2 linked regions of the Ovis aries genome follow. The protein of the gene in region 1 binds, or shares a complex with, the protein of each later gene. Links are inferred from orthologs where the notes say so. Each region holds a gene or a part of one and is shown on either strand. Other genes may lie near its edges.

Region 1 (4,263 bases):
ATGCCTGTGCCCAGAGTTCAGTGCCCCAGAGTCTCAGAAGATGGTGAGTTCAGCTGGAACAGGGAGCTTGTCATGAAAACAGACCATGATGCTCAGCGCCCAAGACCAGGAATGGGGAGGGGAGGGAGGGAGCTGAGCTTCTTCGTGCAGGAAATGGAACTGACATGACAGGCTGAGATTGACACGCGTGACTGTGACTGATAGAGGCCATCTCTGGCTAATCCTGGGGCAGCTCGTTGTGATCCACCGTGACTGCAGGGCCCAGTCTAGTCTGCAACCCACTAAGAGATGAATTTTGACTGAGACAGATGGGCATGTCCAGCTGTCACTGAGGAATTGTGACAGGCAAGCTAAAGAGCAGCAGCACAGAGACAAGAAGAGCCAGTCACCAATGAGACCTTGGTTTGCATTCTAGCCTGGCCTCTCTCTGGCTGTGCAACTGCTCGGAGCCTCAGTTTTCTCTTCTGCATGTTGGGAATACCGAGTCTGCTTACTAGGGTTAGTGCAAGGATTAGATATCATATACCCAAGGGGCCTGCCCTCTGGATTTTGAATTTCCTTAGGCAGCCCTCAGAATCACATAAGCCAGTTCCTTGTAATAAAGCTCTTAAATACCTCCCGCTGGCTCTGCTTCTTTGATTGAACCCTGAGTGATACAACCACCCAGCACAGAGCTAGGCTCCAAAATAGAAGTCACTAATTAATAAAGAATCACTGTCATTAATTAAATGCATAATATTTAATAATTGAACTGGGTCTTTGTGTGGATTCCAGAAAAACAGCAGAGAACAAGACAGGTTCCCTGCCTCAAGGTGCATATACAGCCTACCTAAGATTTCATACTAGGCCTGCACTGCCAGAAGATATCGGGTGTTTATGGCAGGAAGGATCACTGTGGTGACTGCGGCTGTTAGACTGGGTCTTTCTGGCCTGGGTTTCTGAAGCTCTCCCCTACAGCTGAGTATGGTTGGAAGCAAGACCAGGTGATAAAGGGCCAACTGTGACACTCACTCTGATTGAGATCGGCTGACCAGGACTATGACTGAGCCTCTGACTGTGGCTACTGGACAGCTAGGACCTTGACCAGAACCTCAGAGACCACGACTGATTGAAACCGAAAAGCCGTGACTTGCGGATGTGTTTCTGTACCTGGATATAAAATGCATCGTTTGATGAAAGTTATTATCCACGGGTTCAAGAACTAAATCCAGCAACTCAAAGTAGCCAAAGGCAATGTTCCATGGGGCGGAACCTGCTGGCACGGGCCGTTTCTTCCGCGACCCAGGGACCCGCCCGGCCCCTTTCCCCTGTTGTTCCCCTCCGGCGCTATAGAGGGAGAACTTCCGGTGCGCTTCTGCGATCCCTGGACCTGGGCGAGACACCAGTCGGTGAGTGCAGCCTCCTGTCCTCTTTCAACTGTTCTGCTTTCGTTGTCTGTGTGGTCCGGCCACCCTTCTTTCCGGCTGGGGATCGCGGAGGGCCTGAACTCGGGCACCGAGCTGGGACTGTGGCGTCCCGGTCTTGAGCCGGTGGTGGGACCGACCTGCCTCTTTCAGGTGGGTTACTCTTATTGCTCCCCTTGTAACCGTCAGATACGCCGTCGCCAGAACTTTGTGGGGGCACCTGGGAAACTTCTTTTTTCCTAACTTTAGAACTTATGGGCTCGGAGGCCTTGGCTCCGCCTGACGTGGTTCTGGTGTTCTCTATCTTCGGTAAGGTCTTTTCCACGAACCGAGCCTTTGTTTCTCATCTACAACATGGATATCGTGCTTTTATTAAAAACAGATGTTTAGCCAGCGTCTAATATGTGCTAGAGGTACGAAAGACCCGCATCTCCTAGAGGTGACAGCCCTCTATTAATATTTGCGAACTTGCAGTTGTGATCAGTGAAATGGAAAGATAAAAAGCACTTTGAGAGCACATCACAGGAGATCTGACTTAGCCCCAGGTCGAGGAAGCGTTGCTGAGAAGGTAAATATTAAGCAGAGATCAGAAAAATGGTTTGAGACAGAGAGGAGGGAAGAGTTTTCTATCAGGGGAGCCTCTGTTTGAGGGTCTGAAAGAGTCAGTGTGGCTGCAGCAGAGCTTGGGGAGGAAGCATGATATGAAACAAGCTGGAGGAGTTTCCATGGACCAGGCCATACAGCCCTTGTAGGTCGCAGTGGGAATTTTGGTTTGCCAAGAGCCACGTGAGAAGTCTCTCAGAGGATGTTAAGTATGGGTGGTGACATGCTTAGACTGGCGGTTTGAGAAGGTCACTCCTGCTTTTGGATGGAGAAGGGATTGCAGGGACAATCTGGCTGAGGGACATGGTAGCTTAGATTAAGGATGTGGTGGAGAGAAGTGGGTAGATGTGATTCTCTGTATCTCAAGGCATCTTCTTTGTGCCAGGTCATTTGCCAGCTGTGGAAGATATAGTGAAGAGAATTACAATCTGCTGGAAGTAGAAAGAAAGAAGTGGCATTATCAAAGAGGAGCACACAGATGCCACTGGGAAAATGGCTAATTGATGAGCAGTTATTCTAAATGCAATAGCTGTTCATTTAATAAATATATTAAGTGCCTTTTGAACTCAAGATTGGGGATAGTAAGATGATATAAATTATTTAGAGCAGTGGCTTTCAGACTTTTTGCACTGTGACCTACAGTAACGCATACATTTTACATGGTGACCAAGAGTCCATACAGACACACAAAGCTTCAGAAAACAGTACTTCGCTTTACTTCTTAGGATGTACTCTGATTTTTTAAAATTTTGCCCTTTTATTTAAAAAAAAACAACAAACAATGTTGGTTGAGATCCTCTAAGTTGATCTTTTAACCCATTATCAGATTGTGACTTGCAGTTTGAAAAAAAATGTTGATTTAGAGTCATAATCATTTGTGTGGGTTTTGGGTAAAGACAATAAAATATGTCCTTTCCATATTGGGAAAAGTGTTGGTCTTCCTTTCCTCATGGTATTGTTTTGTTTGTTTAAATAAAATGAGTAAAAGGAATTAAACAGGCAGCTGGTTCTTCTGTTTGTGAAGTTTTGTGGTCTTGTTGATATGTCTGGCTGGATTGGAAGTGCCTGGAAGGCAGTAACTGTCTTCTCCATGATTATTTCTGTTCGTGTCTGGCAAAAATCCTGCAGGCTCTCCAAGGTTATTTGTTGAATTGAATAGGTAGGTGTCTTGGGACTAGAGAGTTAGACGTGTTCTGTTAAAATTAGTTCATGTTGGACCCATCCTTATAAATACAGAGACTATGTCTGTTTACAGAAGTCTTATCAGTGTGTCCTCTTGGGTAGTTCAGAGGTAGATAAAAATAAATGTTCTAAGGTCTTGGTCTTCTAAATACTGATCCGAGGCCAGCCATGCCACCTGGATCCATTTGGGTGAGCAGTCCAGAGGTGCTACTGACTGTGGACCCTTTGGAAAGTTGTTTCACTCCCTGGACTTTAGACTTCTTTATATATATATATATATTTTATATGTATATTTGTATATATGCAGGAGAAGAGGGTTGTGGTTGAAAAGCTCTCCACTGCCCAAACCTTTTGTGAATTTTATTTATTTTATTTTATTTTACTTTATTTTACGTTACAATACTCTTGTGAATTTTAGATGCTAAGCACCCCGTTTCCACTTTCTGTCCATTTCTGGGCCTCCGCTGAGGCTTATGGGAAACTGGGTGGATGCTTCTCGAATCTTCTAAGTTTTAGACAGAATTATAGTTTAAGACAGTTTAGGCACACTAATCCTTTAGAGTGGACCAACCAGGCATTCTCCACCTTCATCTTCTGTTATGAGAAGGAGATCTGAAGAGTGCACAGATCTGAAGGAGCTTCGGAGTGCACAGTGGGAAGAACGCTGGCCTGGAGGGCAGGGTACCCGGGTTCTAACTGGGTCCTTGTGTGGTCTTGAACATGTCTCTTTTCTTTAACTGATGTCTTTCCAGCTGTGCAGTGAGTGTTCTTGCTCATTAAACTCAGAAACAAAAACTGTCTTCTCTTTGAGTGTCGTTTTCTTTACCTGTGATGAAAATTAAGGTAGAAAATTATGTCACTGGAAAAGATCCTGATGCTGGGAAAGATTGAAGTCAGAGGAGAAGGGGACGACAGAGGATGAGATGGTTGGATGGCATCACTGACTCAATGGACATGAGTTTGAGCAAGCTCCAGAGTTGGTGATGGACAGGGAAGCCTAGCATGCTACAGTCTAAGGGGTTGCAGAGTCGGGCGCAACTGAATGACTGAACTGAATTGTTTCAGGGGTCTAACT
Region 2 (4,533 bases), on another chromosome or scaffold:
CTCGGGAGAAACTGAGACTTGATCTTACTGGCTCTGCCACCAGCCACAGCTTGCTTTGCCTCCCAGGAACCTAAAACCCATGGTGGCTCATTTTCTTCTCAAGGCCTCCATTTCCTCATCTGTCGGGTCAACAATACACAGGGATGGGGGCTGTGAGTACCCCCTGCACGGGCCAGGCTGAGACCCCCCAGGCTGATCACCCATGGCCTCTTCTCTTCGGGCCTGCAGGCGTCAAGATCATCTTCCGGGTGGCCCTGGTGCTGCTGCGGCACACGCTGGGCTCGGTGGAAAAGCTGCGCTCCTGCCAAGGCATGTATGAGACCATGGAGCAGCTGCGGAACTTGCCTCAGCAGTGCATGCAGGAGGACTTCCTGGTGCACGAGGTAGGTCCTGGCCTTAGCGTACCTCACACCCGCTTCAGTAGATCCCCACCCCACTTCACCCTGGTACCCATGTCTTCTCCATCTAGGTGACCAACCTCCAAGTGACAGAAGCACTGATTGAGCGAGAGAACGCAGCCCAGCTCAAGAAGTGGCTGGAAACCCGGGGCGAGCTGCAGTATCGGCCCTCACGGAGACTACACGGTTCCCGGGCCATCCACGAGGAGCGCCGGCGGCAGCTGCCCCCCCTGGGCCCCTCCTCCAGCCTCCTCAGCCTCCCTGGCCTCAAGAGCCGGGGCTCCCGGGCAGGTGGAGGGGTCCCCTCCCCACCCCCTCCCGTCCGCAGGGCCAGCGCGGGGCCTGCCCCAGGGCCCGTGGTCACCGCCGAGGGACTGCGTCCATCCCTTCCTTCGCCTACTGGCAACAGCGCCCCTCTGGCCCCTAGCGGCAAGGAGGCCCGGAGGCAGGAGAAGGAGCGGCAGAAACAGGAAAAGGAACGCGAGAAGGAGCGGCAGAAACAGGAAAAAGAACGGGAGAAGCAGGAGAAGGAGCGGCAGAAGCAGGAGAAGGAGCAGCAGAAACAGGAGAAGGAGCGGCAGAAGCAGGAGAAGAAGGCCCAGGGCAGGAAGCTCTCACTCCATCGAAAGGCAGATGGACCGCCTGCCCCCCAGGACGGCGGGGACAGGTCCTCAGCATCAGAGGCCCGGCAGGATGCGTACTTCTGACCTCTGCCCTGGGGCTGGACTACGTGGCCCCCTCTTTTCCCTCAGCCAAGAGCAGACCTAGCCTGGGGTCCTGCTCCCAGCCCGCCCTTGGCAGGCTGTCCCTCTTTTTGAGGAAAGTGGCTTGTTCCCCGTCTCCGTGCCAGCCGCTGATCCCCACGTGGCCAGGACAGTCAGAACGGGGGGCAGCTGCATTTCCCTGGGGAAGCAGTGGACACCTCACCTCCAGCTCGGCCCAACTGGGGTCCCTTCCCAGGTGCCACTCTCCTGATTGGCCTTTGGTCACCGCAGGGGTGACCTGTGGCAGTGGGAGTCAGCAGTTTTCAGATTCTTACACTCCAGTCACTCCCCTTACCCGTGAAGTGAAGCTGGGTTCCTTTACCCCCTTCAGTCCTGCCTGTCTTCCCCCAGTTCCTGGTTGGGGGCCCAGGCTCTTCTTGCTCTCCTTCTGGACATCTCTGTGTTGTAATTATGTACAGAGGACCTGGTGGGCCCCGGGTGGGGGTGTTCACTCCATCTTCTGTTCTCTGGTTCTCCCTCCTCAGTGTTCTTGCACTCTAGTTTATTTAAGGGGACACGCACTGGAACAGGAAATGTCTCCCACCTCCCACCACCACCCTCCTTGCTCTCCTTCCTCTTCACCCACCTTTCTCTGTATTCTCAGGCCTCCCCTGCTTTATCTGACCAGGGCCCCTGCCTTTCACTTTGTCCCTTCCAACCCTCCAGCCCCTTCCTGGGTAAGGGTCTTCCCCTGAGCCCCAGGGGGTGGAACCCAATGTTTACATGTTCTTCTGTCTCTGCCCCCACCCTGTTCGGCCGCTTTGAGGAACCGGAAAAGAACCTGCTGTTGTACCTGGGCCTGTCTTTTGCCTTGTTATTTGATGAGTGGGGTTAAAGTAAGGACAAGGAGGGAGGGAGTGATGAGTTAGCAAGGATCTGGGTGTCTCTGGAAGCTGTTGACTGGACTTGGCAGATACCTTTGGGTCTTTAGTCTATTAGTCACTCATCAACACAGTTGTTGCGTTCCTGCTTCACCTCCACCTGCTGGGGATCTGCTGCCTCCGTTGTCACTGGCCTCCTGGAACTGTCTGTGGACAGCCTGCAGCATCCGGATCTCCTTTCCAAAGTGCTCGTGCAACTCCTGGAAGCTGAAGAGGGTCCTGGGGGTGGCTGGGGAGCCACAGTCCTCTGGGGGTGAGCCGGGCTCTTGGCCAGCTGCCTGGCACAGCTCCCGGTACTGGGCCTCCAGGGGGCGTAGCAGCTCAGCCAGCCGCGTCCAGGTGGCTCCGGCCAACGCCCACAGCCAGGCTCTCAGCTCCTCCCGGTTTTCTGCTGCCAGCCTGTAGGCCCGCCCACCATCTCCCCCTGGAGTCCGAATGGTAAAGGCATAAGGTTCTGTGGCTCCAAGGCGTGGCTCCACCTGGCAGTTCTCTAATAGGATGAGACCCAGGGGTGTGTGGTCAGCCTGGTGTTCCAGGTAGAAGAGGAGGTTTCCTCGCAGGATGAACCAGCGGCGCTGATAACTGGTATTTCGGGCCCCCTTCTTTAGCAGGATGCCCTCCCGGTCTGGAGCCTGTGTTCTGTACCCACGGAAGAAACGGAGCACGGACTTTCGGTGCAGTTTCATGGTAGCCCACTGTGGGAAGAAACCCTAGGAGTGGAGAAAGGAGGAGTGGGGCATTTGGTGATCCGGAGTACCCCAGCACTGCCCTCCTCTGGTTCCAGCAGGCTCTTTCTGGGCACTGTCTTGGTCTTGGTCTAGAGGGATTCAAACTTGAGTTTTCAAGAAGGACCTTCCACCCACCTCCCAACCTCAGCTCTGCCCCTTGGGCCAAATTACAAAACCTGGGCAGGACTGTAGTGCTGGGGTCCTGTTTGGGGGTGGGGTTGGCGGATATCCACTACGGCCCTTTCCCAGGCCTACCTGAGATGAGGGCACAAGGGACTTCAGGCCTCGGTACTGGGAACAGGTGCCACTGCCACCTCTCCTATTTGACTCTTCCCACCTCAGAAACCAGGAACTTGGCCAGGGGATAGGAGGCGGCTGATTTTAGACTTCCCCTGGGTCCTAAAAGGAGCTGGGTTCGGAAAGTCCCAGGAGAACCTCTGGGACAACAGCAAGGCTACACCTCGGACTAGCAAAGGGCGGACAACTGGACGCCAAGAGTAGGAAGGCAGGATTTCTAATGAGATGATGAAGGGCGCAGAACCAGCCGTGGGGAAAAGGAGACAACCCGGGAAAGAGAAAACTAGGGCAGGAACCCACCGGCCCTGCTGGGACTTTGTTCCTCCATCGTGAACCTGGGCGCCCCTTTCTCCTCAGAGCCTCTAGTGTTGTAGGAGGAAACCGAGATCACTTCCGGCCATCCTCGTCCGATCAGGGTCTAGGCGTTCAAATGTCCCCTCTTCTCACCATAGTCACCCCACACGGCTCGCGTCACTTCTGGGAGGGGGCGTCTCTCCCCGCGCGGCGCGTACTTCCGCCCGCTCCTTCAGTTGTTCATCTAACCCGAGTGAAGCCACTTCCGGCTTTCCCCGCCGCCTTCCGCAGTTCTCTTCCGGGTGGTGGCGGGCGGGTGGCCCGGATGTAGCCCTGGTGAAACCCTCTCTCCCTTTCTTCCCCCACCTTTCCTGGATCCTTAGGTGAGCGCGTGCCGGCGGGACTGCTGGTGTCCCCGTGGCCCTGCCGCCTTTCTAATTTGTACACAGCCCAAGACAGTTGGGAGTCACCCCGCGGAGTTGGGAGTTCGGCGCAGGGAGGAGCGGGGCTGCCAGGGCGCTAGGTCCTGGGTCTGCCGGGGCCCCTCGGGTTCCGAGGAAGCTGGGGGTGGTGGAGCGGGTGTTTACCCGCGAAGCACATCGCGCCCAGCACTGCTGGGGCCTGGAATAAGGGTGGTCACGTGGGGGAGCCCGTCTCCTCTTGTCAAGGGTGGGGGTGCCCGTAGGAGCTCCTCCGCCCGTCCGCTCTTGCGTCTCCGCACCAGCGGCTCTTTTAGATGCTAAGCCAAGTCCCGGGAGGGGCGGGGGGAGGGGCGGGTTCTGGACTACCAGCTCGCCTTTCGGCTCCTGATTCTGTACTCCCTTCCCAAAGTGGATCTAGTACCCGCCAAGTAAAAGATCTGTTGTGCAGGGGGCCCCCTCGCGGGGAGTTGCCTCCTCACCCAGTTCCCTTAATCTGCACCCTTTCCCTCTGCTCAGTTTGGAAAAGCCCTTCTGTCCAGTCATGCCAAAGAGGAAAGTGACCTTCCAAGGCGTGGGAGATGATGACGAGGATGAAATCAGTGTCCCCAAGAAAAAGGTGAGGGGGGCCAGACTCCTCTGTTCTGTGGCGGTGTGAAGGGAGAAAAAAAATAAATTAGAAGCCAGATGAGAGATCTGGAGGGACAAAGAAAGGATGGAAAGGGTCAGCTTTTCCGCGTATTTCTGAGATG

Evidence for each region.
Region 2: AAR2 (region 1) and CD2BP2 share a complex: the UniProt entries of both Homo sapiens proteins name them as parts of the U5 snRNP complex. The link is inferred for Ovis aries from reciprocal best matches to the Homo sapiens genes AAR2 and CD2BP2.

Annotation. Positions count from the first base shown.
Region 1 is NC_056066.1:65,348,098-65,352,360, forward strand, and holds the start of AAR2 (protein AAR2 homolog), read left to right. Parts: upstream 1-1,334; 5' UTR 1,335-1,556; intron 1,557-4,263. UniProt on the Homo sapiens protein: Component of the U5 snRNP complex that is required for spliceosome assembly and for pre-mRNA splicing.
Region 2 is NC_056077.1:27,062,710-27,067,242, reverse strand, and holds the start of CD2BP2 (CD2 antigen cytoplasmic tail-binding protein 2), read left to right. Parts: upstream 1-1,525; 5' UTR 1,526-2,108; coding exon of another isoform or gene 2,109-2,729; exon of another isoform or gene 2,730-2,753; intron 2,754-3,026; exon of another isoform or gene 3,027-3,111; intron 3,112-3,676; exon of another isoform or gene 3,677-3,745; intron 3,746-4,300; 5' UTR 4,301-4,325; coding exon 4,326-4,400; intron 4,401-4,533. Other genes in the region: TBC1D10B (TBC1 domain family member 10B), read left to right, coding at 229-383, 470-1,105; sesquipedalian-1-like, read right to left, coding at 2,109-2,729. UniProt on the Homo sapiens protein: Involved in pre-mRNA splicing as component of the U5 snRNP complex that is involved in spliceosome assembly.